2 linked regions of the Schizosaccharomyces pombe genome follow. The protein of the gene in region 1 interacts with the protein of each later gene in a pairwise test. Each region holds a gene or a part of one and is shown on either strand. Other genes may lie near its edges.

What was found.
Region 2: the proteins of git1 (region 1) and cyr1 interact in binary tests that used the Schizosaccharomyces pombe proteins (3 or more experiments, as listed by UniProt).

What each region holds. Positions count from the first base shown.
Region 1 is NC_003423.3:3,833,068-3,836,998, reverse strand, and holds the start of git1 (C2 domain protein Git1), read left to right. Parts: upstream 1-2,008; 5' UTR 2,009-2,505; coding exon 2,506-3,931. Other genes in the region: splicing factor Cxr1, read left to right, coding at 1-1,156.
Region 2 is NC_003423.3:2,817,471-2,821,401, reverse strand, and holds the start of cyr1 (adenylate cyclase), read right to left. Parts: upstream 1,601-3,931; 5' UTR 1,395-1,600; coding exon 1-1,394. Other genes in the region: N-end-recognizing protein, UBR ubiquitin-protein ligase E3 Ubr1, read right to left, coding at 2,177-3,931. UniProt on the Schizosaccharomyces pombe protein: Acts in glucose-induced cAMP signaling by catalyzing the synthesis of the second messenger, cAMP to activate PKA signaling and repress sexual development and gluconeogenesis.

The sequences.
Region 1 (3,931 bases):
CTATCAAAAAACGACGCTTTGGATGGGTGAATTAGAGCCTTGGGTTACTGAAGCATTTATCCAGCAAGTTTGGAATACTTTAGGAAAGGCAGTCAAAGTAAAGCTTATTCGTAACAGGTACACAGGCATGAATGCTGGCTATTGTTTTGTCGAATTCGCATCTCCTCATGAAGCTTCAAGCGCGATGAGTATGAACAACAAACCAATTCCTGGTACAAATCATTTGTTTAAACTTAATTGGGCCTCTGGAGGCGGATTACGTGAAAAGTCTATTTCAAAGGCCTCAGAATATTCCATATTTGTGGGAGACTTGTCACCCAATGTCAATGAGTTTGATGTGTATTCTCTCTTCGCATCTCGATATAACTCATGCAAGTCGGCCAAAATCATGACTGATCCTCAAACAAATGTGTCAAGAGGATATGGTTTTGTCCGTTTTACGGACGAAAATGATCAGAAATCTGCATTGGCAGAAATGCAGGGTCAAATTTGTGGTGATCGTCCTATTCGGGTGGGATTAGCCACTCCTAAAAGTAAGGCTCATGTTTTTAGTCCTGTGAACGTTGTACCTGTTAGTATGCCACCAGTTGGATTTTATAGTGCTGCACAGCCTGTTCCTCAGTTTGCTGACACAGCAAACTCAACCGTATTTGTTGGCGGTCTCTCAAAATTTGTTTCTGAAGAGGAGCTTAAGTATCTTTTTCAAAATTTTGGAGAAATTGTTTATGTCAAAATTCCACCTGGAAAAGGTTGTGGATTTGTGCAATTTGTCAACCGACAGTCTGCTGAAATTGCTATCAATCAGTTGCAGGGTTATCCTTTGGGCAATTCTCGTATCCGATTATCTTGGGGAAGGAATCAGAATCCAATTGCGGCTCCTGCCTTGAATTATCAGTCTCAGGTTTCACAAACTACTATTCCTGCTACCTCATTATTTCCGGCAATGAGTTTACCACCCCAGGCTCAGTTTAGTCCATATCCGGCTGTTGCACCTTCCCCCTTAGCCCTGCAAACGAGGGGTGCACCGATTGGCATGGAAATTTCGATTGGATCTCCTGCCCTCGTACCTGATCAAATGCATATTCCTGAAAACGGCAACTCTGATACCATGCCTGTTCCTAACACACAAGGAAAGCATTTATCAGCTGAAGAGTAATGTAAAAGTACTTGCGATTGAATTTTTTATAATGGCATGTCTCATACTTTTTATCATCATTCTTGGTTTTTATAAAGTATGAATAATTTTCCATCTATTCTAATAAGTTTGATGTTCATAATGAATCACGGAGAATTATTGTTTCGAGAAACGTGAGAGTTCTTGTAAACTCTATCTGTTATTTTGGACGTTAAATCAAGAGAGTCCCTTAGCATAATTGATTAATAAGCATTTTACATGTGTTCATGAATTCGAATTATCGAAGAAAAGCTTGAACTAAATTTTTGTTGGACATAGCTTCATTACGTTTCCTTTCTAAGGATTGACGGTTTTTATATTCATCTCTCCCTGTTTATGATATGAAATGCTACGTTTTTTTAGCCGAAATTTTCATTTGTCATGATTTTTATAGTCAAGAAAAAGGTTTTCATACGACGTATATAAAAGATTAAATTTAATAGTAATGATGGACTTCAGAATTATCGCACTGAGATTTTTAGGTCGCTGGAGAATGCAGTTTAGGCAAGGTATGTAAGTGCTTATTGAGATTTCCCATTGATAAACAACTTTTAAGTTGCTTCTGGTTTAATCATTCGTTCTTTTAGGTATGAGTTTAGTTAAATGATCAGCGCCATTTTCAAAACATTTCATTCAACCAAAAATCAACCGCCTCTAAATTCAATTTTATTTGAATGATACTCCCTATTTATCGAAAAATCCATTCAATTAAAATCTATTATTAACTTTTCATCCATTTAAATCTACTCCATTTTTAAAGCTCTTGTTTACAGAGTAACAACGCGACTTGCAACTTCTACTACGCCAGGGGGGCGACTGTCGCAATAAACAACTGACAGAAAACGCACTTATAGTATAGGCTCAAAATCTTTTTAAATCGTAGCCTTTCCCATTAATACGAATACATCATCAAATTCAGTTTTGCGATTAAGTATAAACGGGCTTAACTCGTGCGTTTATATACTTTGTCAACGCTGTGATTAGTATTCAACCTTTGACGTTACACTTTATTAACCTGGCTCGATACTCTTAAATAAGACTCTGGAAAGCGACAATTCTTATAATTAATTTTATTTTTTATTTTTTAACCTGTGAAAAAGTTTTAATCTCTAGACCTGGAACGATCATTAACATAATTGTGTACACATTATTGAAATCCAGCTTATAAATGAATTTTGATCTACTAAATAATTTACTCACCGATCCAAAGAAGCAGACAACATAAACCATCACCTATCGCTATTTTTACCTTCATCCATTAAATAACACCTTCATACATTCCGAACACCAGGTTTTTGCACTCTCTACTCAGCAAATCGGAAAGGCTTAAAATGGGATTCACTAGTGTTGAACCCCCAGATTTTTTTGATTGGACTGCCAGAGCTATATTTTTATTATCGACATTACGCAGTCGCAGAAATGCTAAGCAAATTGAGCGTGAAAATGCGCTTTTGGATCAAATCAAGGAGCTTTTAAGTATTGCCATTATTCAGTGTCATGAAAGAAATATTCCTTCGATAGATCTTCCCCCGTCTTTTTTCAATTATGTTTGTGAACAGCTACCCAGGCACCCTTTTGCTAAGATAGCTTCGAGCTACATAGATACGCATACTTTATTTTTTCAAATATCTATCAGCTCATTTTTATGCCGATTTTCAAACTGCTCAGAAGACGAGATCAGGCTTTTTAAGCAGCACCAGTCCCTTGATAGTTTTTTACTATCCTTGTTTGACCTCCTTTGTAGTCACCACTTTTCCGTTGAATTTACGTCCATATCACTAATTATCAAATCTTCGCAGTGGTTATTTTATACATTATCCGATTATGCTCATGAATCCTTAACAGGCGTTGAGGCTGATATTACAACGAAATTTCTTTCCACCCTAGCTGATACTTGGCCAGAATTCGAAGAGCAGTGTACTCTTAGCAAACATCTTTTTCTTTTAGGTGACTTTTCGCTAATCAGCTATGTAAAAGTTTTATGTGGTGTATTTAATATCCCTAACTACAATGCCTTCATTCTAAGTGTCGAGGATCTACTTCCGGAAAATATATCCTTTGCCGCCGTTGCTGATTTTCAGTTATCAAAGTATAGGGCAATTAACGACAATTCTGTATTAAGAAGTGACGATTTCTCATCAAAAGCTGTGTTCGACAAATACGTTGAAAGGGAGTGTTATTACTCAGAAAATGCTATTAGTAAAATTTTTCAAAACTATCCTGATTTGGCTGTCCTTTTTGAAGAACTACAATATGCCGAGGGAAACAATGATCTTCTATCTGCGATTTTGAATACCAATAAATATACTTTGAGACCTGATGATTGTGCTCCATACTTTTATCGTTTAATGGATTTGTGCTTACGTTATTGTTATAGCCAAAGTAATGAAATTGGTACCAACGTTTTATGGAGCATGACTACAAGTTTCATCAACATTTGGCGTATTCATCCTGGAACATGTTGTTGCGTGGTCTTAAGTATATATTGGCCTTATCTTGAGGATAAACTCCTAAAGTTTTCGGACCTTGGAGATATTTTTGAATACTTCTTTTCTTTAATTCATGATTGTGATTATGCGATTTGGTCAGTCCATGACGAACACCAATTTTCGGAGTTATTGGCGTTTTATCATAGAAGAGCTTTAAATGACTTAGTAGAAGAATTGGGGAGCTGTCCTCGTTCTAGTGATTCTTGCCGAGCTATCCTTGATATCCTTAATAATTACATCTTTTCATGTCCGCTTTTTCTGGTAACCC
Region 2 (3,931 bases), 1.0 Mb from region 1:
CTTAAATTATTGGAAATGTCTAACCGCTTAAGCTTGACACAGCGCTCCATGAAATCTAAAGGCAGGTCCAGCGATAAATTGTGCGAAACATTCAACGAGATAAGTTCATGGGCATAGGGATAGATCTTTACCGGAATAACCTCCAGGTTTGACCTACTAATGTCAAGGTTCGCAGTAATTTTTTTTTCAGAGAATTTACGCAATACATCCGCTCCAATATCCATCGTAGTAAACACCAATCTAGCAACACTATAATTATCTTCTTCATTTATTTCTTCATCGGAAGTTACCTTACACCCAAACAAACTCAATAATCGTTCAAATATAATGCATGGCTGTTCATGAGGCAACAAAATACGTTCTGTATTGAATTGGATTAATAAGAGGTAAAAATTAGCAGACGAGGGAAGAAAAAATAACCTTGCTAACAGCTTAATCACTTCATGAGTTTGTATGCCAATAGGGCAAATGAATGATACGGAAGTTCGATCATCACGGTATACTCGAAGAAAGAACTCTTTCTTTCTATTGCCCAGGGAAGGACGAGCAAAAAATCTAGTAGTAAAAACCTGCTTTGGAATAGCCTCAGTGGGCAAACTAGTTCCCCAACTCTCCGGAGCTTTCCAAGAATCATCGGATAAAATGGAAGGGTACGGTAAAAACTTCTTCCAAGGGCTATCATAACTATCTCTATGATAATCGAGGTCCAGGATATGAGCCGCAGAAGCAGGGATTCCATCATCATCACTATTCCTGGGTAATTCGTGTATGCTACCTTCCAAACTAGCTGGCCAATTGTTATTAAGAGAATCACGTTGAAACTCCACACTGTCACTGTCATCAGAAATCGGTTCTGGAAAAGTTAGATTGGTAAATGACTGATTCAGGTTTTTGTCGAAAGATTCTCTGTCCTTATCAATAAGTCTTCGAAGGCCTGCTTCTTTAGAAATTGCACAATTAGACGAGTTATTTTCTTTGTATGGCTTTATCCCAGCACTACGGGTATCACGTGGCACTTCAGACTTTTCAGAGCTTTCTCTTGCAGCTAAGGCGGTATCCGATTTAGTACGTCCCGTGTCAGATAAGCTAAAGTTCTCATCCGGTTCATAAAAATGGAAAAGCACGCTTTTGCTAGGTACTGCAGGAGTGCTAGGATAGGTCTTAAAAGCTTCGACAGGTCGTCCAGAATTACCGACAGGTTGAGTGCAAGGTGAAAGAGCTTCATGGGAGTCATTACAGAGATTTGCTTCGGTTATTTCTGGTATATCATAGTTCACAGACGTCGCTGAGTCATCGTCCTTCTCGTCAAGGTCATCAAGCCAGGATATACCTGTTTTAAAATGTTCAGGCGGGTTTGGAACAGCTGACTTTAACAATCGCTTGCTTTGATCCATTAGTGGCAATTTGCATCCTTCCTAAGAATCTGTAGCACCTTCGTTTCAAAAATACCACTATACGCGAATTTTGGACAAGGAAAATTCAATAATGGTTATATCCCTATCCAAGGAAGGAATATTGAATTTATAGAACTAGTATTTGCTCTATTATCCTAGTTCCAACACCAGCGTTTCTTTGTCTGATTATATCACTTGTTAGGTTTAGAACAAGAAAGGGTTTGGGTTCCAACACCTCATGTATCTTCCTAACTCTAAACTATATTCCAGAGTGGTAATTTCCAACACTATGTGTTCTCAGTGAATTAGTGAGGAAGAAACTGTAAGGCGCGTTCGAATACTGCGTACGTCACTATTTCATCGATTTGTAAACAAATCTACTGAATATACTAGATGAAGGCGGTCTTGAATTAATTACTATGATTTTTTTATTTTTTTTTTTGAAGGCTTTCCATTACTCCTTCCATTAATTAACATTGGATTTGACTGATGAGTTAAAAAAGCTTCTTTTATCAAAGTTTCAAACTGAGTTTTAAAGTATTCATGAAACTTTCATCTAATTTTATCCTTAAATGATACTCGCCCCTTAAATATAAGGGCAATACGATTGACTGTTTGAATGAGACGAAATGTTTGTAAAGTAACCTATATTTACAGGTCAATGAATATGAATTAAATGATAAAATGTCAAGTTTTGGTATATATATCCTAATAAATAATCAAGGTGTTTGAAGCATTAAAAAAATTAGTAGCTTAGATCACGTAAACTCCCATTGTTTAGCCTAAAGTGTTTCCCAACCTCCGGTGTCTGGATTCGCATCCAGTTGTCGAGCAATATAAGAAGGAATAGATCCGTTTAGCCACATCGTTCGTACTGTTTCATCATAACGTTTTTGTGATAGATATTGAGAGCGGCCACGACGCAATCCCAAATCTGTCTCTCCATACGCATCCAAAAATGGAGCTACAGAGAAGCTTCCTACAGGTGGATTGAGGTAGAGAATAGCGCATTTTTTGACAATAAGAAAAATTCCAATGTCAGAAGCGCATTGTTGCATATGAAGATTACATTCTCCAATACCATTAAAGGAACAACAATGACTTTGGAAGCATAAGAGCTTCCCACAAAATAAACATATCGCTGGTTCCATAGGTTCAGTTAAACATTTCGAGCATCGCCTGGCCAATAGTAACTCAAAGACTTTATCCAATTCATACGGTAAAGAAACTAGTTCATAAATTCCAGGGTAATAAGCGCGAGGAAAATCGCATAGAGGACCAGTCTCTGTAAAGAAATTACACCAGTGCTTTATAAGGCTCCATTCTGTGGAAGATGCCGTAAGACAAAGATGATTAGATAATTCAATAACACCTGGAATATGCATTTTTGTTTGTAAACGTGATAATTCTGAATTTTGAAAGTTTAAATTCGGTTGCGTCTCAAATGAAACTCCATAGCGGCAATACCAAAGCAAAGCACATTTTCGAAGGAAGATTAGAGAAAACCTTTCCAATAGTTTATACAGTGTAAACAAAAGATGAGGATTATTTAGATCATCCTCCGTACAACAATCAAAATTGATTAATCCTGCTCCGTCGACACGAAGACTTTTCCAAATTTGGATAACTAAGTGCTCAAACCCCTTTAGCTGCTCATAGTCAAAGGCTTCAAATTCAACTGATTCCATACATTTCAGTAAAGAGTTTCTTTGTGACAAAAGAATCCATAAGTTTCGAACTATATCGGCAGTATAGTATAATTGCGTCAAGTAGTGAAACGATTCGTCACATGATAATAAACCAGAGACACTGGCTTCGGCGAATTCTCGAAATGTATCCTTCACAAGTAACGGCTCAACTCTATCATCAGTAATAGATTTGGTAACCGGTGAATCTAGAGAGGGCAATAGTCGCCCAAATATCCTTTTTTGTTGGCAGAAACTAATAAATTCAAACTCTTGAATTGAACCCCCAATACGCTTCTGTGAATCATGTGCACATAACAAAGTATAAGTTTTGATAGATTCAGATAAAATCCTTAAAAAAACTTGCTGATTTTTTCCAAGATTATGCACCCAAATATCCGCTGGAATACTTGAACATTTTATGTGTCCTCTAGTAGATGCTTCAACTTGGCAAAGGCTGTATGAAAAGAGTTTAACAACATTATGCAATTTACCGTTCACTGGAATAAAATCATCGGAGTATAAAGAAGAATTAAGATCTATTACATCGTCAAGCCTCCGATAAAGCTCAAATATATCATCTGAAATAGCGAGACGTTCATCGGCAGGAACTTCATTATTTACAACACTCTTAAAATGGACATGATCCAATACGCTCGATTGGAATAAGTTATCCGCATTTTCTTCAACGTTATCACTGGAATTATCAGCACCAGTATTGAGGGTATATATATCTTTCAACGAGTCTCGTAAGGTGTGTTGTAATACATCAAGCAGATTTAAATTGTACGACTGTGTGTGCTCAGAAGGGGAGGTTTCTATGTCAAGAAGTTGCTGATTTAAGTCTTTATT